7 linked regions of the Macaca fascicularis genome follow. The protein of the gene in region 6 interacts with the protein of the main gene of each other region in a pairwise test. Links are inferred from orthologs where the notes say so. Each region holds a gene or a part of one and is shown on either strand. Other genes may lie near its edges.

What was found.
Region 1: the proteins of AP2B1 (region 6) and GTF2I interact in binary tests that used the Homo sapiens proteins (3 or more experiments, as listed by UniProt). The link is inferred for Macaca fascicularis from reciprocal best matches to the Homo sapiens genes AP2B1 and GTF2I.
Region 2: the proteins of AP2B1 (region 6) and NEU4 interact in binary tests that used the Homo sapiens proteins (3 or more experiments, as listed by UniProt). The two-hybrid records come from large-scale screens. The link is inferred for Macaca fascicularis from reciprocal best matches to the Homo sapiens genes AP2B1 and NEU4.
Region 3: the proteins of AP2B1 (region 6) and AP1M1 interact in binary tests that used the Homo sapiens proteins (3 or more experiments, as listed by UniProt). The link is inferred for Macaca fascicularis from reciprocal best matches to the Homo sapiens genes AP2B1 and AP1M1.
Region 4: the proteins of AP2B1 (region 6) and NUP54 interact in binary tests that used the Homo sapiens proteins (3 or more experiments, as listed by UniProt). The two-hybrid records come from large-scale screens. The link is inferred for Macaca fascicularis from reciprocal best matches to the Homo sapiens genes AP2B1 and NUP54.
Region 5: the proteins of AP2B1 (region 6) and THAP1 interact in binary tests that used the Homo sapiens proteins (3 or more experiments, as listed by UniProt). The two-hybrid records come from large-scale screens. The link is inferred for Macaca fascicularis from reciprocal best matches to the Homo sapiens genes AP2B1 and THAP1.
Region 7: the proteins of AP2B1 (region 6) and AP1M2 interact in binary tests that used the Homo sapiens proteins (3 or more experiments, as listed by UniProt). The two-hybrid records come from large-scale screens. The link is inferred for Macaca fascicularis from reciprocal best matches to the Homo sapiens genes AP2B1 and AP1M2.

The regions. Positions count from the first base shown.
Region 1 is NC_088377.1:53,638,289-53,642,570, forward strand, and holds part of GTF2I (general transcription factor II-I), read left to right. Parts: intron 1-219; coding exon 220-403; intron 404-2,196; coding exon 2,197-2,225; intron 2,226-3,521; coding exon 3,522-3,563; intron 3,564-4,282. UniProt on the Homo sapiens protein: Interacts with the basal transcription machinery by coordinating the formation of a multiprotein complex at the C-FOS promoter, and linking specific signal responsive activator complexes.
Region 2 is NC_088386.1:137,751,419-137,755,168, reverse strand, and holds the end of NEU4 (sialidase-4), read right to left. Parts: coding exon 3,709-3,750; intron 3,532-3,708; coding exon 3,276-3,531; intron 2,478-3,275; coding exon 1,480-2,477; 3' UTR 1,131-1,479; downstream 1-1,130. UniProt on the Homo sapiens protein: Exo-alpha-sialidase that catalyzes the hydrolytic cleavage of the terminal sialic acid (N-acetylneuraminic acid, Neu5Ac) of a glycan moiety in the catabolism of glycolipids, glycoproteins and oligosacharides.
Region 3 is NC_088393.1:16,522,991-16,527,272, reverse strand, and holds part of AP1M1 (AP-1 complex subunit mu-1), read right to left. Parts: intron 1,360-4,282; coding exon 1,203-1,359; intron 1-1,202. UniProt on the Homo sapiens protein: Subunit of clathrin-associated adaptor protein complex 1 that plays a role in protein sorting in the trans-Golgi network (TGN) and endosomes.
Region 4 is NC_088379.1:57,767,547-57,770,978, reverse strand, and holds the end of NUP54 (nucleoporin p54), read right to left. Parts: intron 1,941-3,432; coding exon 1,812-1,940; 3' UTR 1,115-1,811; downstream 1-1,114. UniProt on the Homo sapiens protein: Component of the nuclear pore complex, a complex required for the trafficking across the nuclear membrane.
Region 5 is NC_088382.1:46,374,362-46,377,306, forward strand, and holds the end of THAP1 (THAP domain-containing protein 1), read right to left. Parts: intron 2,363-2,945; coding exon 1,991-2,362; 3' UTR 700-1,990; downstream 1-699. UniProt on the Homo sapiens protein: DNA-binding transcription regulator that regulates endothelial cell proliferation and G1/S cell-cycle progression.
Region 6 is NC_088390.1:41,888,969-41,893,692, reverse strand, and holds the start of AP2B1 (AP-2 complex subunit beta), read right to left. Parts: upstream 3,327-4,724; 5' UTR 3,051-3,326; exon of another isoform or gene 2,967-3,050; intron 1-2,966. UniProt on the Homo sapiens protein: Component of the adaptor protein complex 2 (AP-2). Adaptor protein complexes function in protein transport via transport vesicles in different membrane traffic pathways.
Region 7 is NC_088393.1:11,138,444-11,143,333, forward strand, and holds the start of AP1M2 (AP-1 complex subunit mu-2), read right to left. Parts: upstream 3,004-4,890; 5' UTR 2,931-3,003; coding exon 2,889-2,930; intron 1,809-2,888; exon of another isoform or gene 1,711-1,808; intron 1-1,710. UniProt on the Homo sapiens protein: Subunit of clathrin-associated adaptor protein complex 1 that plays a role in protein sorting in the trans-Golgi network (TGN) and endosomes.

The sequences.
Region 1 (4,282 bases), on a different chromosome or scaffold from region 6:
TCAAGCCATCGCACTCCAACCTAGGTGACAGAGTGAGACTCTGTCTCAAAAACAAATTTTTTTTAAGGTTCATATTTAAATTTGTTTGACGTGTACAAAGACCTTAGTTAACAGCAGAGACAGTCTTTAAAATAAATGTTGATCTGGTGCTTTTGACAGACTTTTTAAGGCAGTGGGTTCATCTGTGCTGTTGTGCTGTTTGTCTCACTGTCACTGTAGGTGAAGCCATTGGTATGGGTTTTCCTGTGAAAGTTCCCTACAGGAAAATCACAATTAACCCTGGCTGTGTGGTGGTTGACGGCATGCCCCCGGGGGTGTCCTTCAAAGCCCCCAGCTACCTGGAAATCAGCTCCATGAGAAGGATCTTAGATTCTGCCGAGTTTATCAAATTCACGGTCATTAGGTAAGTGAGAGTTTTCTGCTCAGTCACAGGAATGAGTCTGGAGCTCATGAGGTTGACTCATCTAAAACGCAGCCACAGGTAGTCATCGAATCAGGCTTCCTGTGCGATGCAATGAACAAATAAAGATAACTTGTTTCATCGTTAGAATGTTAGATGTGCCTCTGCCTAAGCCGACTCTTTTAATTCTTGGCAAAGGGTTGGCAAACTAGGTCTGTTCACCAAATTCAGCCTGCCTCCTATTTTTAGAGACTTCCTGAAACACAGCTACGCCCGTATTATCCATGGCTGCTTTCCTGTCACAGTGAGTAAATAGCTGGGACTGAGACGGCATGGCCTCCAAAGTCTAAAATATTTACTCTCTAGCACTTTATAGAAAAACCTTGGCCAGGCACAGTGGCTCACACCTGTAATCCCAGCATTTTAGGGAGGCCAAGGCAGGCAGATCACCTGAGGTCAGGAGTTCCAGACCAGCCTGGCCAACATGGTGAAATCCTGTCCGTACACAAATACAGCAGTTAGCTGGGCATGATGGTGCGTGCCTGTAGTCCCAGCTACTCGGGAGGCTGAGGCAGGAGAATCGCTTGAACCCAGGAGGTGGAGGTTGTAGTGAGCCGAGATTATGCCATTGCACTCCAGCCTGGGCGACAGAGTGAGACTCCATCTCAAGAAAGAAAGAAAAACTTTGCCAACCTCTGTCTTAGGGCGCCGTGTCACAGGCTTTGGCTCAGACGGATTCAACCTCGCATCAGCCATTTGTTAGCCTCGTCACTCTGTTCCTTGTCTGTAAATGAGAGTGACCATTGTTACCACGGAGAGTGTCAGTTCCCTCCCGTAGAGCAGGCATGATGATTGTACTCATCCTCTAACACCATTTGAGCGCCACATTCCTTCCTGTGTCCTTGTTACCATAAGAGACGCCCACCTAGGCCGGGCGCGGAGGCTCACACCTGTAACCCCAGCACTTTGGGAGGCCGAGGCGCACGAATCATGAGGTCAGGAGATCGAGACCATCCTGGCTAACACAGTGAAACCCCGTCTCTACTAAAAATACAAAAAATTAGCCGGGCGTGGTGGTGCGTGCCTGTAGTTCCAGCTACTCAGGAGGCTAAGGCAGGAGAATGGCTTGAACCCGGGAGGCGGAACTTGCAGTGAGCCAAGATGGCGCCACTGTACTCCAGCCTGGGCGACAAAGTGAGACTCCGTCTCAAAAAAAAAAAAAAAAAAGAGACGCCCACCTGAGCACCAACCCCAGGTTATCTTCCTCTTTTTCTTCCAGCGCCCCAGAAACTTAGCTACAACTCAACCTACCCAATCAGTTCATCATTAAACTGCCACTGTCTCTAGTTCACATCTCTTAGGACTGGCACTCAGAAATCTCATAATAAATCCTCTTGAGGCTTCTTCTCATTCACTCGTCTTCTTCCAACCTTCTTTCCCTCAAAATCTCATATTTTTGTTCCGCTTCCCCATGGTCATTCTCCATATCATTCCCAGGAGTTAGGCCAAAAGCCCCTTGCGTTCTTCCATGCATTGAACTTAGAATCACTCTGTTTCCTGCTCTGGCGTTTCTGTTTTTTGTTTTTCCTCCATTTACTGAGTAACATTTTCTAACAGTGTTCTTATTATGGATACGTATCTATCTCTTCCATAAGTTTATAAGATCGTGGATAATACTTCTCACTGTAGTACGTAAATGACATGGGCTAGATATGAGTTGAATAGACAGTTATACCTGTAAATCCTTATAGAGTGAAAATAAATTATTATACTTTACAATTTGTTTCTCTCTTTAGACCATTTCCAGGACTTGTGATTAATAACCGTGAGTATTTTGTGAAGCGTTTCTGTTTTTTCCCCGGGTCTGACATATGTGCGTGTGAGTGTGTATATGTGTTTAAAGTATATCACGTTCCTTCACCTATGTCAGCAGCCGTGCCAGATACTTATTTTAGCCCTCAGTAAAAACACCAGGCACTTCCAAGTTGTAAAATTCTTCAAGCTTCTTAACTTTTCCTATCCTCGATGTGCTTAATCATAAAATGGTAATAATAGCACTGATTCTGGGGGAGTCGTTCCAGTAGATGGAAAGCATCTAGAACAAGTGTCAGCAAGCTCCTGCCGAGGTGTGTGCATAAAGTTTTATTGAAACCACCATCGTGTTCATTTGTTTATGGCAGAACTGAGAGGTGGCAACAGCAAGTGTGTGCTTGCAAAACCTAAAATGCTTACTGATTGGCTCTGTAAGAAAAGAGTTTGCAGCCCCCTAACCTAGAACAGCATCTAGCCTATAGTATGTGCTTAGCCTACGGTATGTGCTCAGCGAATACAATCTATATTTATTACTGCTTTTATGACTGTTATAATGACTGTGCTTGGATTTCGTGCCAAAGTCAGTCACTTAATGTGCCTGCTTCTATTACTATTTCAGCACCGCGTCTGGCACACATTGGGCTTTCAAATATTGTCGAGCGGGTGAACAACTGTCCTTTCAATGCCTTAACATTGATGTCATTTTCAGTAGTATTTTAAGCCAAACTTAGTTTTCCAAGTGTGTTTTTGTTCTCTTAACTTTATTATTAAAAATGTATAAAAGTGAGGCCAGGAGCGGTGGCTCATGCCTGTAATCCCAGCAGTTTGGAGGCTGAGGCAGGCGGATCACTTGAGGTTGGGAGTTTGAGACCAGCCCGTCCAACATGGTGAAAACCTGTCTCTACTAAAAATACAAAAATCAGCTGGGTGTGGTGGCAGACACCTGTAATCCCAGCTACTTGGGAGGGTGAGGCAGGAGAGTCGCTTGAATCCTGGAGGCGGAGATTGCAGTGAGCTGAGATCGTGCCATTGCACTCCAGCCTGGACAACAAGAGCAAAACTCTGTCTCAATAAATTATTTATTTACATAAATAATACATACATAAAAAAAATGTTCTCTTTTGTTCCTGTTCTTGTGCGGTAGTGTGGAATAGAGTTTTATGGTAATTACTATGAATTAGTGATTCTGAGGACCGTATCAGAACTCTGAGGTTTGTATCCTTCTCATCTTGAGCAAATGTATGTTAAAATGCTTGTCAAAGGGAACAACACGTCCTTACATTATTAAACCAATCTGCTTCATTTTCAGAGCTGGTTGATCAGAGTGAGTCAGAAGGCCCCGTGATACAAGGTGAGTGAGGCAGGGGAGGGCCCGGAGCTACTCCTGCCACTCAGTCGCCTGCCCTGAGGGGACTCAGTTACACAGCGCACACATGCTTCTCTGTGGTTTTCACTCCTGGGTTTGACAGCTGATCAAAACATAAATTCAAGCTGTGGGTCCTGATTGAGAACAGGGGGCTGCAAACCATTTGCACCCCCTATCCCAGCTCAGGCCTAACATCAGGAACCCCAGGATTAATGGATAGGATGAAATGGCAGAGAAAGAGGGTCGTCATTTTAACCTGACTCTGTGCCGTCCGTTTCTAATGTCTGCCATAAGTGATTGAGCAAAATGTTCTTGAGTAGAAATGTACAGATTATGCTTTTAAAAAATTCCTTAAAAAACAAGTGGAGGCCGGGTGCGGTGGCTCAAGCCTGTAATCCCAGCACTTTGGGAGGCCGAGGCGGGCGGATCACAAGGTCAGGAGATCGAGACCATCCTGGCTAACACGGTGAAACCCCGTCTCTACTAAAAACACAAAAAAAACTAGCCGGGCGAGGTGGCGGGCACCTGTAGTCCCAGCTACTCGGGAGGCTGAGGCAGGAGAATGGCGTAAACCCAGGAGGCGGAGCTTGCAGTGAGCTGAGATGGCGCCACTGCACTCCAGCCTGGGGGACAGAGCAAGACTCCGTCTCAAAAAAAAAAAAAAAAAAACAAGTGGAATGGCCCGGTGCTATGTGAGTCATTGA
Region 2 (3,750 bases), on a different chromosome or scaffold from region 6:
GGGGGCCGCAAGGGGAGGTCATCTCTGCTCCCCTGGGGCCCTTCGGCGACTCAGAGACCACCCGGATGCCCCTCACTGCTGGGGGCTGGCCGTGGGTCCCCGCCCTTGGGAATGGTCACCGAAGCCAGCCCAAAGGGTGACCAGACCCAGAGACACGCAAAGAAGCCCATCACACACAATTCAGGGCCAGGAAGAAGGTGGCACACGTGTGCACCCCCGGCCGGGCCGTCGTCCACGGGTGTGGCAGCAGGCTGGACAGGAGCACTTGAAGCCAGAAGGAAGGGCCCGTGGAGAGAGGGGCCCAGGGCTCACTTCTATTTTTTCTTTATATTTTCTTTATAGCTTTCTACATTTTCCAGATTTTCTTTTTTTCTTTCTTTCTTTCTTTTTTTTTTTTTTTTGAGTCTCACTCTGTCGCCCAGGCTGGAGTGCAGTGGCACAATCTTGGCTCACTGCAACCTCCGCCTCCTAGGTTAAAGTGATTCTCCTGCCTCAGCCTCCCAAGTAGCTGAGATTACAGGTGCCCACCACGATGCCCAGCTAATTTTTGTATTTTTAGTAGAGACGAGATTTCACCACGTTGGCCAAGCTGGTCTCGAATTCCTGACCTCAGGTGATCCACCTGCCTCGACCTCCCAAAGTGCTGGGATTATAGGCGTGAGCCACTGTGCCCGGCTCATTTTCCAGATTTTCTACAGTAAGCACATATTGCTTTTGTCATCAGAAATTAAGACTTTAAAAGGAGAATAAATAAAAAGGAACTTCCCTGGGGAAACAGCCCCAGTGGAGCCCAAGCCCTCTGCAGGGTGGGGTCAGGGGAGCGGGACACACGGCTGGTCCTGGAAGGTGACCCCCTCCTGGTGTCCAGCTCTGCGGGGAGAGGCCCTACCTCCTACTCCTCTGGTAGGAAGTTCAGAGAGTGCGGCAGACCACTTGCAAATCACCGCACAGGAGGCCAAGGGTGGAAGGCGCTTCCTCCCTCCTGCCCTCCCTCTGCTGGCCCCAGGATGTTTAGAAGCAGAGCTTTGCCAAGGCAATGAGATTTTGGGATGGGGGTCAGAGAAGCGGGTTAGAGCAGAGCTCCCTTCCCCAGGGCTGGAACCTGAAAAGGAAAGAAACGTCTACCCCGACACAAGCACGATTCCTTTATTTCGAGCCAGAAAGCAGCCAGCAAGCAAGTGCTGCCACCCACAACACCCTGGGCTACCTGCAGTCCTGTGCCTGACCCTGCAGCCTCGGGAGGGAGCTGTGGGGGGTCGCCCAGGGCCCACTTCCTGCCCCTACCCTGCCCTGCTCACTCCCAGCCGCTGTTCCCCTTCTCGAAGAGCAACCCCTGCTTGAGAACTCTGAGGAGAAACTTGCTTCTAATCCACAGGATTCTGCACTAAGAGCCCCCCCACATCCATCCTGGGGCACCCCAGCATATTCCACCCCTCTGCCCCGGGCACCCAAGGGGCATGGGCACGGCCAGAAGGCCTGTCAGGAGGGCCAGCAGCACCCCCGAGGCTTGTCCCCAAGGTTGGGCGGCTCGGGGCTGGTGGGCACGTTCTCCAGGACCTCACGTAGGGAGAATGTGCAAAAGGAAATCTCATCATAGGAGGTCCTGGCCCCACTCTCGTACAGGCAGGCAAAAACCAGGCCCCCCTCAGGGGCCGGCCCGACAGACGCCAGGTCGGAGTAGCCGCTGGGGCCCTCGTAGATCACCCAGGGCTCTGTCCAGCTGTGCGGGTCCAGCGGGGCCTGGCTCAGCCGGATACCCATGTGCAGCCGAGCCCTGCGCCCCACTGGGTGGGAGTACAGCAGCCACGTGGGGCTCTGGGGTGGGGCAGCAAAGGGCATGGGGAGCGCTAGGGTCCAGGACCCCACATCCCCACTGACCCCAGGCCTGGGGCCAGGCTGCCTGGGGCCATCCCCCTGAGGCTGCAGATGGCTGCAGGGCCCACCAGGCACCTGGGCTCCATGGGGGTCTCCGGCAGCCTCCTCTGGGGGTTCATGGACTCCAGGACCAAGGCGTGGAGGGTGAAGGGGACTCCCGGGGCCCACTGACCAACCATCATCCCGTGGCCTGCTGGGGGCGGGGGCTGGGAAGCCCACGATGCTGCCCTGGCAGCCCCAGGCGGTCTCGGGCAGGGAAGCCACACGCTCTGCGGGCAGGAAGGAGGTGCCCTCGTCAGTGCTGAGTGCCTGCACGCGGCTGCCCAGGGTGCTCCGGGCATTGCAGTAGAGGAAGCTGCCGGCCTGTCCACCATCCACTGCCGCCAGCTGGCACTCGCCCGAGCGCAGGTTGGGCACGAGGCCTCCACAGCGCCAGGTGCGGCCGTGGTCATCGCTGTAGAAGGCGAAGGAGTGGGGGCTGGTCCGGCAGATCTTGCCAAAACACTCTCGGCGGTCCACGCGGTAGGTGTAGGCGGGCACCAGCAGGCGGCCTGAGGGCAGCTGCACGCCGTGGCCGGGACCCACGGCGAACGTGGCCCAGTCTGTGGGGAGGAGGGCGGAGGTGGGAGGGGCTGCTGAGTCCCCGAGGTTGGGGGGGGCGGATGGAGGAAGGCACAGGGGTCGGGGAAGGCACAGGGGTCGGGGAAGGAGGGGCTGGTGCCTCGGGTTAGGACCGTCACACTCTGACCACCCTTCCACACAACTCATTGCAGCCGCCCTGAGTCCTCCCAGGCTGACAAGCCTCTCCCAGCCCTTAGCAGCCGCGCCCAGGTGGACAGCACCCAGGGAGGCTGGCGAGCACTGCCCATACAGATACAGCGGAGGGCGGGCAGGGGGAGTGAGGCCCTGCGGTGGGGTCCTGGGGTCCGCCATGTATCTGCTCCACTCCCTGCTGTGGCTCCCACAGGCCAGGGTCAGGTGGCCACAGAGGACGGGGTGGAGGGAAAGCTGTGGCGAGGCCTGGCCAGGCCCTAGGCGGGGTGAGAAGGGAGTAAAGATTAAGAGGAAGGGGTGGGGCAGGGTGGCTGTTGGTTTGGGAGCTGAGAGACACCTCAGCATTCAGCCTTCTCCTCTGCAGATAAAGGGATGACCTGGGGGGATGAGAGTCTGATCAGCCATAGAGGGCCTGCTCCTGCCCACCGGATGGACTGGGTGGCGACCAGTACCCATTTGCCTGGGACGGGAGGCCCAGGACAGTCCTGGGGAGAGGGCTGGTTGGTTCCCTTATGGCTGGAGGCAGGGGCGGTGGTGGGGCAGAATGGACTTTTCCAGCTGGAATCTCCCTTCCATGTGGACCGTGGCCAATCCGAGGGACCCAGACTGGCACCCTGCCCGCCTACCCTGCACGGCACCACCAATGGCCTCCTCGGTGAGGTCCCGGGCGCTGCCCCACGAGAGGCCGGCGTCACGGCTGGCCACGTAGCAGAGGCGTGCGGCGTTCCTTCCCGTGGCGATCTGCACGGCCTCGGGCGTGTGGCCCAGCACCGCGATGAAGAAGAGGAAGACGGTGCCTGTGCCAGTGTCGTGCACGGGGCAGGGGTTCATGGACCGGTGCTCTGCCAGGGCTGCTGTCCCCAGCACCTGCAGGGCGCCCCACTGCCCAGAGGAGGAAGTGCCACTGACTAGGATGTCCAGGGACCTGGGCACAGCCCCCCGTGGGGCACCCGAGACAGCTGAGCCTGGTTTGCTCATCTCTATCTCGGGCACCCGCCTGCCACCGCCACCCCCGCCCCTGTCCCTGGGTGTGCAGCCCCAGTGGGCCCGGCCACTCACCCGCACGGAGCCCCCGGCCCGCGTGCCCCTCCTCAGCACCAG
Region 3 (4,282 bases), on a different chromosome or scaffold from region 6:
ACAGAGGCGCACCACAGGGAGCCGTGGACCAGCACAGCCCACATGGGAATGTGCACACGAGTCACCAAGAACAGATCTTCCTACAATGCAGATTCTGACAGGGCAGGGCTGGGTGGAGCCCGGGATTCTGCATTTCCAAAGGGCTCCCAGGGGATGTTCTGGCCCATTGGCCACACTGTACTACTGGCAAGGCCCCAAGTGTCTCCAAGAACACAGGAAAGGGCAGAGAGCCCATGTCTGCTGGGAGCAATGTGCACAAGTCAGCTCAACTGACCCGAATGGTCCTGCAGCGAGGGGTCGTTGTTCCCACCAAACTGTGGGAAGGTGAGGGATTCGCCTCCAGCCCCATGGCTGCTGGAGCTGGGGCTCAAACCAGGCTGTGGCTGCAAAGCAGGCCCTTCCGCAGTAGTGTGGGTACTGAGATGGGCCTGCAGGTCTGCCCAAAGCCGTGGGGTGGCCAGTTAGACCTCCTGGATAGAAACTGGCTTGGCCAAGTCTCCCCATGGGCCCAAGGACAGGAAGGGTGGGGGACTCTGAGATCTGGGTGGGGCTGTGAGAAGTCTCTCCCCTTCTCTGTACCCTACCACCCCTCCGTGGTCCAGGCCACTTCCCCTCCCACCTGCACGATGGCCCCAGCCTACTCCTCACCTACCCATGTCCTCTCCTGTCCCCACAGTCTTGCCCCACTCAGCAGCCAGAAACCTCCAGAAGATGCACATCTAAAAGCCTCCAAAGACTTTCTGTCACATTTCAGATGATGTTCTTTGAGACCCCAGACCCCGCTGACCACTCCGGCCTCACTGCTGCCACACGCCCCCTCTCGAGGGCTCCAGCCACCCCGATTGCAGCTGCTGGAATGAGCCTTTCCCTTGCAGAGCCTTCACCCACGCCTAGTGCCTGCCTGCCCCTCCAGCTGGCAGACGCCAGGCCTCCCTGCAGGCTTCCTCCAGGGTGTCACTTCCCTTCCTGGGCCCCTGGGCCAAAGAAGTTCAAGTCACACCTGCTCCTCTCCCCGCACCCATCACGCGTGTCATCGTGCATTCTCTGCCTGTCTCTGCAGGCAGCAGGGAGCTCCGGGAGGGCTTGGCTGTATCCAATGCTCCCGCTGTGCACAAACCAGTCCCGGCTGAAGGCGTGTGGACGTGCACACACACCAACACCCACACAGGAGTCTCCTGGGAGCCGCCCCAGTAAAGGGATACGATACAGGTTGTTGTGTTTGATCCACATGAAACGGACCCCTCCGTGGGCCAGGATGGGCGACAGCATCCCCTCCTCCTCCTTCTCCATCAGGATGGGCATGAAGTGCTCCACCTCCGACATGTCCACGTCGCCACGGTAGTTCCGGCAGATGAGCACCTGGGGTGGGGAAGGAAGAGGAATGATGCTTGCATTTTCAATTCTACAATCCAGGGGCTTGGGGCAGGGGGTGAGATGCACCAGCCTGCTTCCCTCTGGGGACTCCGGTCATGGCCCCTATCCGCAAAAGAGCAGGACTCGAGGCCGTGCTGATCTCCATCCCCCAGGGAATTCCTGGAGAAGAGCATCTCCCAGTGTGAACGTCCACAGGGGCCACTGCAGTTCTTTGCAGGGTGAGGGTAGAGGGGAACTCTGCGGCAAAGGTCCAGGACCGAATCATTCAGAGACATCAGGTTAAGTAATGCCTCACAAGCTCTCAACGCAGACCTTCTCAGAGCCTTTGCCGGGCCAACGCACCCTGCTCTCCCGCCTGTGTCAGGGCGCCCACTCCCGCTGAAGATTCGTATTGACTGAAGTCCACCGGTGGCCTGAAGAGGAGAAGCCCTCTTGCTGGTCTCTCTCTTTCATAGCCTGTGGGTCGGGATATACAGCACCCAGAAACCCTGTCCACTGCTGAGAGGAAAGGAAAATGGGACAGCTACTTTGGTGCAGTCTGGTAGTTTCTCAAAAAGTGAAACCCAGTGTTACTATCCGATCCAGTCATTCCTCTCTCTGGTATTTACCCAAGAGAAATGAAACCACATGTCTGCACAAAGACTAGCACAAGAATGTTAACAGCAGCTTTAACTGAAACAGACCCAGACTAGAAACAATGCCAATGTCCTTCAGCAGGTGAACTAGAAACAAACTGTCCGTGCACACCATGAGAAGCACGCCTCGGCAACGAAAGGGCTCGGACTCCCGATACGCGGGCGCATCAGAATCACTGTGCTGGCTGAGAGAAACCAGACAGACGAGCGCTCATCCTGTATGACCGCACGTGTATAAAAGCCCAGAAAATGGTGATGAAAAACACATCGGTGGCTGCGTAGGGATGGGGCTGGACAGCAAAAGGGCGTGAGGAAGCTTTCGGGGGCGATGGAATGTGTGGTTATGGCTTCCCACATGACTGAGCTCATCAAATTGCACACTTTAGATAAGTGCAGGCTATTAGTGCAAATTACATCTCATTAAAGAAAAAAAGGAGGTCGGAAGTTTTGCTAGCCTGGGCACGGCTGCGGTTGGAGATGCTGCTTGGAGCAGCTGCAGCTCTTGGGGCCTGCAGGACAGCCAGCTGCAGGACTCGGCAACGCGCTGAGAAGGCCATTGCGGTGCTGACCATCCTGGGAACCAACTGCCTCAGAACTTGGCATTTCATTACACGCTGACTTTATTCTCTTAAGGAGAGACTGGGGGTGGTGGAGGGTGGCACCTTCCTTTCCTAGTGTCTCATTCGTGGCCTGTGGGACTGATTGGAGGGAGGCAGGTGATGACGTGTTGAGGGACCAGCCCCTTCCCCTGCTGTCACTCTTGACCCCCCCAGGTCCTTCCTCACAAAGGGTGGCAGGGCTCTTCCCACACAGAGGCCAGATGGGGTCTCTCTCCCACTGTTGAACTGCCACCTACCCCAGCCTCCCCGGCACTGAGAACAAAGCCCAAGTCCGTCCCCGTGGCTCCCAAGGACCGGCGTGGTCTGGCTCCTCACAGTCTCTGACGCCTCTCTGCCTGCGCTGCCCTGGTCCATTCCCCTCCAGCCGGGCCCCTTAGCTGGTCTCTGAGTGATCCACATCTGTTCCCACCTTGGGCCTTTGCCCTGATCTGGCTCTTCTCACTTCCCAAGGCTCAGCTCAAATGATACCTCCTCTAAGGGTCCTCCCAGCTGGGCGCAGTGGCTCACGCCTGTAATCCCAGCACTTTGGGAGGCCGAGGCGGGCGGATCATGAGGTCAGGAGTTTGAGACCAGCCTGACCAATATGGTGAAACTCCATCTCTATTAAAAATACAAAATTAGCCAGGCATGGCGGTGCATGACTGTAACCCCAGCTACTTAGGAGGCTAAGGCAGGAGAATCACTTGAACCCAGGAGGCAGAGGGTGCAGTGAGCCGAGGTTGTGCCATTGCACTCCAGCCTGCATGATAGAACATAACTCTGTCTCAAAAAAAAAAAAAAAAAAAAAAAAGAAGTCCTTCCTGCTTGCTCTGGCTGAGATCATGTCCCATCCCTCTGCACCCTGACCCCTGCTTTATCCCTATCACCTGCTGCGTTATACATTTATCTGTATCCTCGTCTATTGTCTGACATCCCCTGAGAACAGCGATGACTCCTGTCTCATTCACAGCTGTGTTCCAGCACCCAGAACGGGGCCTGGCCCATAGTAGGTGCTCAGTAAACATTTGTGGAGTGAATATGGGGGTGAGGAGAAAAAGGAAGCGAGGATAATGTCCAGGTCTCCAGTGCAGGTGGCTGAATGGGTGATGGCATCACTGAGATGGAGAGAGAGCAGGTACAGGGAATGCATTCAGAGAAATGCTGAATTTGTGGTGATGGCGGGACCTCCCTAGTGTCCCAGAGGCCAGTGGATCTCCAGAGAAGTGCTGTGGACAAAGTCGAGAGTCACCGGCCCATGGACATGAGTCAAAGCCCACCTGGGAAGAGTGACAGCATGGGGAGGCACACGTAGGCCTGAGCCACTCCACAGCCCTGAGGAGGGCAGAAAGGGAGGAGAGCAGGCGGTGCGAGAAACAGGAGGAAACCCCCGAGCGCAGCCTCCCGGAAGCGGAAGGGAGCGCTGAAGAGGAGGTGGTTAGTGGTGGTTAGTGGTGTAAGAAGCCAGCTAGATAAAGCGGAGAAGCTTCCTACTAGGAGAGCTTCCTTCCAGCCCAGTGTGGCCACGCCAGTGTCCTCGGTGACCAGACACGTGGCCACGAATTTCTCAGTGTGCTTTATTTTTGATGAAATGCAGTCGGCTCACGAGGCCGACTTTGGAAACAGGAGGTCCGTGGATTGTGGAATAAGAAAGGGCATCATGGTTGCAGAGGGAGG
Region 4 (3,432 bases), on a different chromosome or scaffold from region 6:
CTATACTTGGCTACATGGGTAAGAATGATGAACATGCAGATCTTCTGGGCCATGGAGAAAATGTGGAAAAGGAGAGAAATTCCTGTCCCAACACCGTTGGTATTGCAGTATAATGGATAGGAAAGAATGATGAGAGGGTAGTAGTGTAACAAATTTACATGCCATAAACTTGGCAAAAGCAGCTGCATACTTCTGGCAGTCAATTTGGAAAGAAACAATCAGTTTTAAAGTTCCTAGTCTTGGCCAGGCATAGAGGTTCAGGCCTGTAATCCTAGCACTCTGGCAAGCCAAGGCAGGAGGATTGCTGGAGTCTAGGAGTTCAAGACCAGCCTGGGCAACATAGCAAGACCCCATCTCTACACAAAATAAAAAATATTAGCCCATTGTGGTGGTGCATGCCTGTAGTCCCAGTTACTCGAGTCTGAGGTGGGAGAACTGCTTAAGCCCAGGAGGTCAAGGCTGCAGTGAGTCATGATTATGCCACTGTACGCCAGCCTGGGTGACAGAGAGACTTGTCAAAAAAACAAACAAACAAACAAAAACCACAAAATATCCTAGTCTACACAACTGTAACCTATACAACTGAGCATAAATCTCTTCAGTGGGTTCTCAGAGGATGGACTCCAGATATACAGTGCATCACACTGTTCACCATCCCCATAGTAAATACAATACCAAGATTCATGGGGCTGTTACTTGTAACACCTGTCAATATAAACCAAAGCATCACAGAGAAGTGCAAAGTTAAAGCATCTCAAGAGCGGCAAAGATGATGCAGCCCAAACATACAGTGTGTAGTCAGAAATACTGTTTAAAATGACCCACTGGTTAAAGACCCACTATTTAACACTATTTAATCTGTTTAACTCAGATTTTCTAGTATTTCAAATATTAATGACGTATTAGGGAATTCTTAATACTAGATGATATCTGAAGTAAGTTTTATTTGCCATACCCTAATCAAATTGTGCTGATTATATCAGCACTGACAAAAATCCCTAGGAGGGAAAAATCAGACTTAAGACTAAAATTCCTGAATTGTGATTATTAATTTAGTACCTATGTGGACAAAAAATGGTCATTCCTCAAAAGCCAAATAAAGCACCAGACAAAATTTTATAAAATTACAAATTAAGAATTTATTTATAAGTTTTCATCTTTTTAGAAATAAAAAGGCTTAAAAAACAAAATGGTTGCAAAAATGGTTAATTTTGTTATATCCTAATTGCTTAGGTGTGCTCTGTAAATTCCAAATAAGTAAAATAATATAAAAATACATTTTCAAATCTTTATAGAACAAAAAAAAAAACATTAAATGCTTTTGGATTTTCTTTACTCCTCCCACAGATGAGTTCACAAATAGAAAAACTGGTGTACATTTATACTCTGAAGTACAAATCTCCAACAGCCAAGTAATTATAGTTTCTTCTGTTATGTGCAAAGATTATTTCATATTGGTATGGAAAGCAGAGCACAGGCTCAGTGGACAATAATCATTAAACAGATGATGTTCAAGAAAATGCTGTTGTAAAAATGTACAATAGTACATATAATTTTGGTAATTATGCACTTCTCCTTTTAAAGTAAATACAGCTTTTAGATATAAATCTTTCAAAGGTTTTCTTTGAAGAGCTGTGAGGTGACTGTATTTCAGATTTGATGGACAGTAATTTGTCAGTAAACTTCTCAAAAAACCAAGCCAAGAGAGAATTGTTTTCTTTTTCCCTCCACGTGGTCGGTTTCATTCTTAAGGAAGGGCTGATGCAGTAAGAAGATGAATTTCACAAACCTTTACACAAGTTTGTGAACTGTCAACTAAAGACACCACCTCTGATGTGGATGGTTTCATTCAATCCATGTTCGACCAGCTTTATATCTTCTAGATCATCTTTAATGATGCTAATCAAATGGCTAAGGCCTTCCTGTTGTTGTTTCAAATGCTAGAACAAATTAAGAAACAACATATTAATGTATTAATTTATTAAAACTGCAAGCTAGTCACAGGAAAAAGGACTCCACTTTGACTGTTTTACTAATAACACAGTACCTAGTAAGTGCTTTAAATATAGAGGGCATGCATATTTAAACATTTGTACTACATCTTTTGCTAACAGTGAAAGACAAACTCTAAAGAACAATAAAATCAAACAAATATAAAATGAACAGTATCTTCCAACAAAAATGTTTTTTAGATAGCTATTTCCTTTTACCAACTTTTAATAAAGGCATAATAAAACAGAACTCAAAGGAGGTATTCAAATATAGATGACTAACAAAATAACATTCTGAAAACTGAGAATATTCATGTTTTGAAGTACAAAGTATATAGCGATAATGGTGATGATGACTACAGATGCTAACATTTTTTAAAGACTCCTCCTTATGGGTTAAGGTGCTGTTTTAATAGTGAGTACTGGTATTCACTTGTTCAACTCATTTAAAATCCTTTTGAGCACCCTTTGGGGTACCATTATCATATCCACAGTTAAAGAAACTACAGGTAAATAACCTACCCAAGGTCATAAAGTAGATGGTGAACCATGATTCAATCCCTGAACAATACACTGCTCATCATTTTAAAAAAGACAAGTGTTTAAATTATTCAGTTTTATTGCATATATCAACCTACAACTATTACAATATACTGGAATCTGTTAATTTATTGCAAATACTTAAAACAATGGAATATAATTGGTTGTGTAATGTCCAAGAATCTAGAAGCCAAACTAGTTTTTGGTTACATAAAACCAGCCATATCCATTCTAAAGCATATAATAAAATTGGATTTGTTGATGACATTTATAACCTTAATCTAAAATCCTCAGGGCCATGCCAACAGTCATTAGCTACCTAGTATGCTCCACAAAGTTCATCATCTTCATATATTTTCTTTAGATACAACTGTTCATTTTCATTAAACCAATCTGCATTTATACTAATGAAAATAAGCCAAAGCAGTGTTTCCCAACTTTTTCACACAAGGTGAAAACCCGAGAAGAGTGGCTGGAGGTTCTGGCCACCTCAACCTACCTCCATCCAGATCTCCTGAGGGCTTAGGGGATAGATCAATAACAACATGTTTATAACTTACGTGTGACATATAGGCAGGGAAGGTATTATCTAAAGCAGTTGCTTCTCAAACTTTAAAGTGCATACAAATCATTCTATGATCTTGATAAAATGCAGATTGAATACATCTGGAGTAAGGACTGAAATTTTGCATTTTTAATGACCTTCCAGGTGCGGTTACTGCCTACACTTTAAGGAGCAAGGTCTAGTAAACTGTAGTGTCTCTATTACCTTTTAAATTCATCTTTTTGGTGAGGAGAGGGATACTTCACCTTTTTAAAATTGTGGCAAAACAGGCTCACCATAAAATTTTGCCTGTAACTATTTTTAAGTATACAGTTCAGTGGCATTAAGTATACTTAT
Region 5 (2,945 bases), on a different chromosome or scaffold from region 6:
TCCCAAATTGCTGGGATAACAGGCATGAGCCACCGTGCCCAGCCAAAGGTATATACTTTTCAAAGTATTCAGGAATAAATCTAAATATTCCTGAGTACTTCCAGGAATTGCTAGAAAGACAACATATAAAACCAAACTACTTGAATACTTTGTAGCCTCTAAAAACAGTTATGAGTTCCATGAATAATCTGTAAAAGTCTTCTGGTTGATCAGCATTAGTTCTAAATGATGTTATCAGACTATGTAACTTCAAGTAATTTTTTTTTTTTGAGATGGGGTCTCGCTGTATTGCCCAGGCTGGAGTACAGTGGTGCCATCTCAGCTCACTGCAACATCCACCTCCCAGGTTCAAGCAACTCTCCTGCCTCAGCCTCCCAAGTAGCTGGGACTATAGGCGCTCGCCACCATGCCCTGCTAGTTTTTGTATTTTTAGCAGAGATGGGGTTTCACCATATTGGCCAGGCTGGTCTCGAACTCCTGACCTTGTGATCCATCTGCCTCGGCCTCCCAAAGTGCTGGGATTACAGGCGTGAGCCATGGTGCCCAGCCCAACTTCAAGTAATCTTCCAATCATTATTTCTATTTTTGAGATACTGGTTCATAAAACATCAAATATCCATGAATCACAGTGCTATCCACTGGCAGCATGGCAGTGAACTACAATGAAAACCAGTTCTACAAAAGACACTTTGAACACCATTGTTTCACACCTTTAATACTGTCTTAAAGGGTCTATTACTCTTCAACTATCTTAGTGTACTTTGAAATATAAAAGTAATAATTATCATTGGAACAGTTATTCTAAATCTAAATAACTCCTATAGTAATATTTGTTTACTCAGAACATATTTTCATTTCCAATATATGTAAAATTTCTCACAAATATAGAACAGAACTCACAGTTTGAACAGAAACCTCAGTGTTTAAATCTCCACATTCAGTAAAATAAACACTACATAGTAGGTTGTTCTGAATATAAATCACTCATTTAAGTAAATGGGATATAATTTCTAACTTGTGTTAAAAGTGAAGAAATCATTTTTTATGTGAAGCCTTGCCCCAACTCAGTCAAGTGCAAGATTATCATATGATACAAATCAAACTCTACTAACACAGCACATTTGTCAGAGACATTGAAGGCAGATACATAACTACAGCTGGGGAACTGGATGTCCTTCAGCTAGAGGGTAATGAAAGAAAAAAGCATATCATAGATCAGGCCCCAGTTTTAATTACTTCATTGATGACAATGCCTTACTTTATTTATTGAAGAATGTTTCTTCCACTGAAAATACACTTCTAATTTTATAATGCTAGACAGTAGGGGGAAAAATAGGAGCCCATTAAAAAAAAAAATCCACTCTTAGAATCTAAAGTTATTGATATTGATCAGATACGCAATGACTCTTTTCTGCTGTGAAGACAATCAAATCTTTTTTTCTTTTTAAGTACTGACTTGCCAATTTATCTTTGATAACTGATTCAGAAACATAAATGAACCATGTGACTTTACATATGAGAATATGTACATATATATATATATTCTGAGAAGTTATGTCCCATGATCTGACCCATACTTCTGATTTAAAATATAACTAAGTTCTCTCAATAAAACAGTACTAATTTTAAGTTTTAAACTGAAGTCACCCTTTTACCACACTGTTCTCATTCTCTTTACTTTTTATTTTTACATTATTTCTATAAATACTAAAAAAGAAAAAACCCAAATCCCCAGTCTTGAAACCAACTTACATTAGAGGTCTGACGTTAGTTTATAACTTTTAAAATATTTTGTTAAAATGTAAAAAACCTGAAATTACAAACAAAAAAATTTATACTTTTACAGTATATATCGAATTTTTTTAAAAAAATATTCTGAACTGTTTTTATATATGTAATCAAGTGTTATTTTTTTAAATGAAACTCCTTTATAGGCTAGAGAAGGATATGTGGTATTGCCCCATTAGAAATCAATATGCATTTCATTTTTTTATGCTGGTACTTCAACTATTTCAAAGTAGTCATTTGGTAGAATCACATAACCTCTTTCTGATACGTCGTCTTTCTCTTTCTGGAAGTGAACAACCTCCTTTAATTTTTCAAGCTGCCGTTCTTGCCTTCTGCATCGCTGCTGTGCGGTCTTGAGCTTCTTTCTGAGTTTTTCAACTTGCTGTTCTAGCTGATGAATCCTTTTCCGCTGATGCATTGTATCCTCCACAGTATAGTTGTGGTCACAGAAAACTGAGAGATTAACAGGGGTCTGAAGAGGTGGCATTAGTAATCCAATAGCAGCATCAACCTGGGAAACAGGAGGCGGTAAAGGTGGTGGAGGAAGCTGTTCCTGTGGCTCCAGATCTTCTTTCTAAAACAAAAGTACAAAGTATGTTTGAATTTAGTAACTAAAAATAACAGTTTAAAACAATTTGTGGACTGACCAGGGGTAGTGGCTCACGCCTGTAATCCTAGCACTTTGGGAGGAAGAGGTGGGCGGATCACCTGAGGTCAGGAGTTTGAAACCAGCCTGGCCAAACATGGCGAAACCCCGTCTCTACTAAAAATACAAAAATTAGCCGGGTGTGGTGGTGTATGCCTATAATCCCAGCTACTCGGGAGGCTGAGGCAAGAGAATTGTTTGAAACCAGGAGGCGGAGGTTGCAGTGAGCCAAGATCATGTCACTGCACTCCAGCCTGGGTGACAGAGAGACTCTGTCTCCCAAAAATAAATAAATAAATAAATAAATAAATAAATAAATAAATATTCTGTGGAATTTAAGAAATATTAGACTTTTGTGGTGAATCAGTGGTACAGAAACATTCCAAAATGAGAAAACAGTTTCAGTTTGAATAAACTTTTCTACCTGCAATAAAGGGACGGTGCAAGAAAGAGACAAAATGAATAATCAGATCCAATTAAATACTAAGCACTGAGGAGAAAAAAATGCTTT
Region 6 (4,724 bases):
TCCCAAAGTGCTCGGATTACAGGCATGAGTAAATTCTTTACAGGAATTTTCACTACATTCTATTAAACAATAAATTAACCTAAGTCTTAAGTCATGCCTTTAACAGCTCACATATTTCATTATCTGTAACAATTTCAATGTCAAGGAATATATTACTGTCCTGTTCACTGTGAGCATTAAGTGTTTTCATCTTAACTAGAAAATAATGCACCCACCCACAAAATTTCAGGGAAGAGAGGAGGGTCAAGTATCTTTAGACGCCCATAACATAGATTCTAAATTAAGAGTCCCTGCTGCTCTAAAGAGAAGGGATATCACTGTAGTAAGCAACACTATTGTAAACAATATTCCCTATCCATATTGGCAGAGAAACATGGTGCCAAGCTGGTTCTTGCCTTAAGCCAAAAGAAACTCCAAGAAAAATGAAAATAGTCTAAATAAAAACAAATAGAAGACATGATTGTTGCACAACACTGTCAGTGTACTAAATTCCACTGAACTGTATGCCTTAAGCTGGTTCATTTTATGGTACGTGAATTTCACCTCAAAAAAAAAATCACATATATATGATTAAGTGTATCTCTCATATAGTGAGTTCTTACCTCATATAATGAGAGACACATTTAATCACATGCTAGATATGGACATAGCCAGAGTCTCCAAAATACAGGATGGCAAAAACTGACATCTTCATTAGAAGTAACAGAAAAAGTAAACAAAATAGAGCTCAAGAAAAAAAAAAACAAAAAAACTCAAATATTTGCTGAAGTGCCTCAAAAATCAAGCTGCTCCTTTGGGGGAGAAAATGTTCCTTCAGAAGAGCCAGAGAAATAAGCAAAGCCATGACGGAATTTGAACTCACACTACCTTTCTACCAGATCAAACCAGACAAGTCACGGCTGTTCTGAGGATTTATGATATGGCCTAAGGCCATTGTTAAACAACAAAGCTGCCAGAGTCAAAGCACATAATCACTCTTACTTGCCCTGACCAGAGTGTGATGTCACTGCATTTCGGAGTAGGCCTCCCTGCACAGGATTACATATCCAGATTTAACATAACCTAGTTTCTATGAAATATAGGTTGTCAAAGTCCCTCCTCTCCTATACCTCCCTCCAGTTCCCTAAAAGAGAAATTGAGCAGCAAAATAAGATTAATACCTTGGGTAGAATAAGGTCAAAAAAAATTAATAGGATCTTAATTCAAATGGCTCTCTGGGAAGCCAAATTAGTTCGTAAAGTCCCTAAACCCTTCTTTTCACAAAGTTGGACTTTACAAAGCTCAGTGCTCACAGTAAAAAACAGAACAAAGTTAACCAAATTATAAAGCAGAAATGTCATTCCAGTAATCTTTTATTGTAAGGGTGAGAGGTGCCAAATTCATTTCTAATCAAATATTCAGTAATAATGCAAAGACAATAGCATCATCAGGTATTATTTTTCTCATAAGAAATTACGACACAAAAGCTAAAATCACCTGTGATTTCTACTTAGACTACAAAGTAGCTTCTTAATATTATATAGAAGCAAAGGAGTTCAAAAGCCTCCCAAAGTGCTGGGATTACAGGCGTGAGCCACCGCGCCCGGCCTACATCTAATTCTTAACCAAAATAACATTAAACTCTGGAAAACTTAAGCCTGGAAGGAAAGAAAGGACAAGAGAAAGGAGAAGGTGCCCTATTTAATATATTCCTTGCTCAGCTTGGTTCAAACCTGTGCCTAAAAAGTTAGTACTTCAAAATATGGATCTTTTAAGGACGGAAAGAATGAAAGAACTGGACTTGAGTTTCTTCATACACAGTCAGAATATTAGATTTATATTGATTTTACCACCCAGCTTTTAGTGAGGATGCTTGCATTATACATCACCCTTTCTGCTTCCTTGAAAGTTTCAACGGTTAAGATACCTGCAAACAGTTCTCACCTTACCAGCACGCTTAGTCATCACTGGAATGTGTTACACGTTTTCTTATAGAGCTGCACCTCCTTCATCTGCTACTTTCTATTATTACTTTGTAAGTGTACCCTGAGGCTAAGCAATTCAAGTATACAAGGAAGGTAATTAATAATTTAAATTGATTCTCATTGAGACCACCTTCTTTCTTAGTCATTCTGCCTTTGTAAGTTTAATGCATTTTCTTTTAAACCACAATGGTTACGATAAGTCTTTGGCGGTTTTCAAAACATTTTTTCTTTTCAAAAGTCAAGTTTGGCTGGGCGCTCTGGCTCACGCCTGTAATCACAGCACTTTGGGAGGCCGAATAGGGAGGATCGCTTGAGCCCAGGGGTTCTAGACTAGACTGGGCAACACAGTAAGACCCTGTCACTGAAAATATAAAAATAAAATAAAATAAAAGTCAAACGTTTAATGAAGCATCCGCGTGAGTTCAATGAAAGCCTGTCCCCCCACCCCACCCCTCCAACAGAAGACTGCTCTTGAAAATAAGCAGCATTAACAAATTATTTGGATTCAAATGATAAGGAAATAACAGTAAGTTCCAGTTTCTTTACTTTCAGCTTAATCTACAGCCTTTCCCAAGCCAGACCATTCCCGCAGAGCCCAGAAAAAGAAGAAGAAAAAAAAAAAAAGGTGGGTTAAGATTTACCCCCATTTGCTTCCCCCTCTCTTACATCGGGTCAATTCTGGAGGTTACTCTTCCTCCAAGAGTCAGGAATGCCTCTTCTTTCCCCAGGTGGTCAAGATTCTAGCGATATGCTCCTCCATTACGGAGCAGGGAAGAGGTTGTCTCTTACCCTCAAGTTACTGGACAGACGACGTTCGCCCATCAATGAGCAAACGGGTTTTTCCCTTTCGCTTTTGCTGGACACGTCTCAGACTCTTAGTGACTCTTAGTGAACGACGCCGAGCGGGGAAGAAAGACGGTTCCCCCCACGGCCTCCAGGCTCTATCAGCCACACCCCTGGCCTCTGGTCCTCCTAAACCCCCAATTCCGAAGTACATCTTACCCTCATGCCCCCAACTACTTGCTGCCACACCCGAGGATTCCCTCACCGCACCACAGTCATCATGGTGGAGACCCTTTCTCCAACCTTTTTCCTCTCACTGGTCACACCCGACGGTTCCCTGTATCCTCAACGGTCACGCTCTTAGGATATCCTCGCTTCCGCCGGTCCTCGACCCAGCCTGGGGTTCCCCTTCTTTTCGTCCCCCACCCCGTCAATTAGGGACACACCCCAAAGGCAGCCTCCCTGAACTCACCGGAGGCGGAGGCGAAGTCGAGGGCGGGGGTGGCGGCGGGAGCCGGAGAGCACAGCCCGGGTGGTGGTGTAATGGTTTCCTGCCCGTCACGATTCTTTTCTAGGTCTAAGCCACTGCGCAAAACCCACTTTGCCAGGGACAAAGATGGTGGGCAGGAAACTCTGACGTCAGAGAACGTCGCCGCGTGACGTCATCGGGGTGCGCGGGAGACCTAGCAAGGCGGTAATCTCTGCCGCCTTCCAGCCCCAAACATTTCCCATGGTCCCAGCAAAGCTGGCCCATCTGGGCCTCAGAGGATGTTAAGTGGCTACTCCAAAGGAATATATTTAAAAAGCTGACAATGGATTTGTTACCTCGCACAGAAATTCTCTGAAAAACGTAAACACAGAGATGATGAAATATCCTGTTCCTTTGTGAAAAACAAAACCCCTCAGCTCATTTTCCTTCCAGGCTCAAGAGCGGACAATGGTGATATAACCCAGGCCTATATACGGGCAGTGGGGCTAGAGGATAGTGGTGCAGGTAAAAGAGGTTGAGGAGGCATTGGATGTGAGTTTGAATCCCTACCCTGAATGTGACTGGGAAAGTTAATGTCTCCTCAATCTTCTTATCTGTGAAATGAAGACAATGATAGTATCTCTCTCGGGCATGTGAAGCGTAAACCAGATAAATTAGGTCAAGTGCCTAGTATATAATAGGTGTGCTTACACAAAAGTAAGTTTCTTTCGGAAACTAAGACCTAGATTCCAGGACCTGGAACTGGAGAACAAGATTGATGAGGTTAAATGAACTAGCTGTCCCTAAGGTTAATTTCAGGGTGTAAGGAAGGATGGAGAGCAAAGTGATTATTTATTTTTCTCACATTTTGCCCATGAACTCTGTGAGTCAGAAAGTGTTTAAGTATTTTAAAACTTCATTCTTAAAAAAGTGATCAGAAGTACATTAAAATTTTGTATAACATACTCATGTATTATTATTTCCTCTGTTATTAAAATAGAGGAATAGGGGAAATTGGAAAGCCAGGTATAAAGAGAGATAATGTAAACACTTATGGTAAATCAGATAGCTGCATAATGTTATAGAATATTTTATGACAGAAAATTCATAAAGTGTTAAGTAAAAATAGGATACAAAACAATATAGTATATGGTATGACTATATATGTATAGAAAAAAAAAAGGCTAGGATAGGCCAGTCATGGTGGCTCACACCTGTAATCCCAGCCCTTTAGGAGACGGAGGTGGGCAGATCACCTGAGGTCAAGAGTTTGAGACCAGCCTGGCCAATGTGGTGAAACCCCGTCTCTACTGAAAAAACAAAAATTAGCTGGTGTGGTGGCACATGCCTATAATCCCGGCTACTCAGGAGGCTGAAGCAGGAGAATGACGTGATCCCAGGAGGTGGAGGTTGCAGTGAGCCAAGATCTCGCCACTGCACTCCAGCCTGGGTAACAAAACCAGACTCGTCTCAAAAAAAAAAAAAAAAGCTTGGATATTCAGCACAAT
Region 7 (4,890 bases), on a different chromosome or scaffold from region 6:
ATTAGTTCTTGCCACAACCCTGTGGGGTAGATGTTATCATCATCTCAATTTCACATAGGAGAAGTGAGGTTAGAAACCATGTCCATTGGAAGCATATGGAAACTGGCGATTGATCTAAGTCATCCTGGGTCCAGAATCCCTGCTGCTGCCCCAGACTTCATTTGCACCAAAGTGGGATTATTTAAAAAAAGAAAAAGACAAAGAAAGAAAAGTCCAGGTGCAATGACTCACTCATGTAATCCCACTGCTTCGGGAGACCGAGGCAGGAGAATCGCTTGAGGCCAGGAGTTTGAGACTGGTTTTGGCAACATAGCGGGATTCCTCTACAAAAAATTTCAAGAATTAGCTGAGCATGGTGGCCTGCACCTGTGTAGTCACAGCTACTCTGGAGTCTGAGGCAGGAGGATCGATTGAACCTAGGAGGTTGAGGCTGCAGTGAGCTGTGATTATACTACTGCACTCCAGCCTGGGCAACAGAGTGAGACCCTGAAGAAAAGAAGGAAGGAAGGAAGGAAGGAAGGAAGGAAGGAAGGAAGGAAGGAAGGAAGGAAGGAAGGAAGGAGGAAGGAGGGAGGGAGGGAGGGAGGGAGGGAGGGAGGGAGGGAAGGAAGGTAGGAAGGAAGGTAGGAAGGAAGGTAGGAAGGAAGGGGAGAGAAAGAAAGAAAGAAAAGAAGGAAAGAAAAGAAAAAGAAAGGAAAGGAAGGAAAGGAAGAAGGATAAAAAAAGGAAAAAGAAAAATGATTGTTCATATGATTGTGCCTGGTAGGAAGCCATCCATAATAGTGAACACTTCTGGCTGGGCGTGGTGGCTCACACCTTTAATCCCAGCACTTTAGGAGGCTGAGGCGGGCAGATCATGAGGTCAAGAGATCAAGACCATCCTGGCTAACATGGTGAAACACCGTCCCTACTAAAAATATAAAGATTAGCTGGGTGTTGTGGCACATGCCTGTAATCCCAGCTACTCGGGAGGCTCAGGCACGAGAATCACTTGAACCCAGGAGGTGAAGGTTGCAGTGAGCTGAAATCACACCAGCCTGGTGACAGAGCGAGACTCCGTCTCAAAAAAAAAAAAAAAAAAAAAAAGAGTTACTACTTCCTAAGGTTGTTTCGTCCAGCATCTGAACAGGGAGGACCCATGGCAGGTTCTCAAACATCTTAGTTCTCACTATTAATATTAACGGGAATATTATTTTCATCGCCACTCTTATTTTGGCTATTAAATGACAGGACAGGCTGGCTGCTGTGGCTTACACCTGTCATCCCAGCACTTTGGGAGACTGAAGCAGGGGATAGCTGGGGCCCAGGAGTTCAAGACCATCCTGGGCAACATAGCGAGACACCATCTCTACAAAAAAATAAAAATAGGCCAGATGTGGCTGGGCGCAGTGGCTCATGTCTGTAATCCCAGCACTTTGGGAGGCCGAGGTGGGTGGATCACGAGGTCAAGAGATTGAGACCATCCTGGCCAACATGGTGAAACCCCATCTCTACTAAATATACAAAAAATTAGCTGGGCATGATGGCACGCGCCTGTAATCCCAGCTACTCAGGAGGCTGAGGCAGGAGAATCACTTGAACTCGAGAGGTGGAGGTTGCAGTGAGCCAAGATCATGCTGTTGCACTCCAGCTTGGGCGACAAGGTGAGACTCCATCTCAAAAAAATAAAAAATAAAAATACAAAAATTAGCCAGGCACAGTGGCACATACCTGTAGTCCCGGCTACTCGGGAAGCTGAGGCAGGAGAGTTGCTTGAATCTGGGAGGTGGAGGTTGCGGTGAGCCAAGATGGAGCCACTGCACTCCAGCCTGAGTGACAGAGCAAGACTCCATTAAAAAAAAAAAAAATTAAAAATAGCCAGGCATGGCTGGGCGCGGTGGCTCATGCCTGTAATCTCAGCACTTTGGGGGGCCAAGGCGGGCAGACCACCTGAGGTCAGGAGTTTGAGACCAGCCTGCCCAAGATGGTGAAACCCCGTCTCTACTAAAAATACAAAAAAATTAGCCTGGTGTGGTGGTGGGCACCTGTAATCCCAGCTACTCAGGAGGCTAAGGCAGTAGAATCGCTTGAACCCAGGAGGCAGAGGTCGCAGTGAGCCAGGATAGCACCACTGCACTCCCGCCTGAGTAACAAGAGTGAAACTCCACCTCAAAAAAAAGCCGGGCATGGAGGGGTCAGCCAGCAGCCCCAGCTACTCAGGAGTTTGAGACCAGCTTTGGCAACATAGCGGGATCCCTCTGCAAAAAAATGTCAAGAATTAGCCAGGCATGGTGGCCTGCACCTGTGTAGTCACAGCTACTCCAGAGACCAAGGCAAGAGGATCGCTTGAGCCCAGAAATTTCAGGATGCAGTGAGCTATGATTGCACCACTACACTCAAGCGTGGGAGACAGCAAGAGACCCTGTCTCCAAATTTAAAAAAGACAAGAGGAATAAAAGGACTTCAGGAAGAGGCAAGGCAGCCACAGATCGGGGGAGTTAGAGGCCCCTGTTCCAGCTGCCTTCCCCAGGTATTAACACTGTGGATGCCGACGGTGATGGAGATAATTTCAATTTGCTGAGTCCCTAATATTTCCAGAAAGGCCACTGTGCTAAGTAGTTTACACGCAGCGAGTTGTATTAATTCTCATTGGGTGGGGACCTCTGTTGCTCCCATTTTTACATACAGAGAAACTGAGGCCCTGGGAGGCGATCGCCTTGGCCTCAGGCACAAAGCGAGTGAATGCTGGAGGTGGGATTTGACCCGGGATTTCCAGGGATTGCGGGGGCGGGGGGTTGTTCCCAGGCCCCTTGCTGGGGCCTCCGTGGCCTGCGCGGAGGGGTCGCCCCTGAATCCCCGGGAGCGAGACCTCACCTGTCCGTCTCCCAACTCCTCATGCCCAGCCTCACCTTGCCCTTGACGTCGAGAATGAAGACAGCCGAGGCGGACATGGTGGCAGCTGAGGGACCTAGGAGGCGGGCAGGGAGCGCCGGGAGGCGACAGCGGCGCCGCTTCCTTCTTCCTGCGGAAGCGCCTGCGCCCAGGTGAGAGCCCAGGTGTGTGCGTCTTAAAGGGGAGGCGGCCAGGTGAGCAGCGCTGTCGGCCAACGTGAAGACGGCTGCGGGGCCGGGAGAGGTACTACGACTTCAGATGCGTCTGCTGCCCCCCTTCACTTTCCCTAGCCACCCAGCAGTAATGACGGGTGGAGACCCCAGACCAGTCATCCATCCTTCCATCCATTCATTCATCCTTCCTTTCATTCATCTGTCCATTCACCATCCAACCATGCATCCTTCCATTCTTGCATTCATTAATCCATCCATTAATTAATCCATCCATGCATCCACTCATTTAGCCATCTTCCATCAATTCATTGATCCATCCATCCGGCATCCATTTATTCATCCATTTTTGCATTCATTTATTTATTCATCTATCCATTATCCATCCATCTATCCATTTATTCATCCATTCATTCATGCATTCTAACATTCATCAATTTATTCATCTATCCATCCATCCATCTGTTCATCCATTCTTGCATTAATTTATTCACCTAAACATTTATCAATCCATCCATCCATCCATCCATTCATCCATTCTTGTATTCATTAATTAATTCATCTATCCATTCATCCACCCATCTATCCATCCATTCATTCATCCTATCATTAATTCATCCATCCATTCATCTTGTTTCTCCTCAGTCTCACCCACACACGTCAGCCCCAGTACAACAGGGACTTTGTCTGGTTCATGTTTATGTCCCTAGTGCTCAGCACTGAGTGCTCAAAATTTGTCCAATTCATTCATTCACTCATTCATATAATAAATTTTACTGGTGAATTTTACTGAGTGAATTTGAAATACTCATTCATTCAGTAACAGGAACTGTGGACCAGAATAAATGTACTTGCTTTTATTATTCTTACAAATTACTCTTATTCATTCCAAAAAACCTTTCTTTTTTTTTTTTTTTTTTTTTTTTTTTTTTTTTTTTGAGATAGAGTCTCGCTCTGTTGCCCATGCTGGAGTGCACTGGCATGATTTTGGCTCACTGCAACCTCTGCCTCCCAGGTTCAAGCAATCCTCCTGCCTCTAGTAGCTGGGATTACAGGCAAGCACCGCCACACCCGGCTAATTTTTTTTTTCTTTTTTTTTGAGACGGGGTCTCGCTCTGTCGCCCAGGCTGGAGTGCAGTGGGGTGATCTCGGCTCACTGCAAGCTCCGCCTCCCGGGTTCGCACCATTCTCCTGCCTCAGCCTTCGGAGTAGCTGGGACTACAGGCACCCACCACTGTGCCCGGCTAATTTTTTGTATTTTTAGTAGACACGGGGTTTTACCGTGTTAGCCAGGATGATCTCGATCTCCTGACCTCAGGTGATCCACCTGCCGCGGCTTCCCAAAGTGCTGGGATTACAGGTGTGAGCTACTGCACCCAGCCAAAAAACCGTTTTTTGTAGAGACAGGGTCTCACTCTGTACCCTAGACTGGAGTGCAGTGATGCAATCATGGCTCACTGCAGCCTCGACTTCCTGGGCTCAAGCCATCCTTCTACCTCAGCCTCCCTAGTAACTAGAACTACAGGCACAAACCGCCACACCTAGTTAGTTTTTTTTGAGACGGAGTTTTGCTCTTGTTGCCCAGGCTGGAGTGCAATGACACGATCTCAGCTCACTGAAACCTCCGCCACCTGGGTTCAAGCAATTCTCCTGCCTCAGCCTCCCACGTAACTGGGATTACGGACATGAGCCACCACGCCCAGCTAATTTTTTTGTATTTTTGGTAGACATGGGGTTTCTCCATGTTAGTCAGGCTGGTCTCGAACTCACGACCTCAGGTAATCCACCTGCCTTGGCATCCCAAAGTGCTGGGATTACAGGCATGAACCACCACTCCTAGTCACACTTA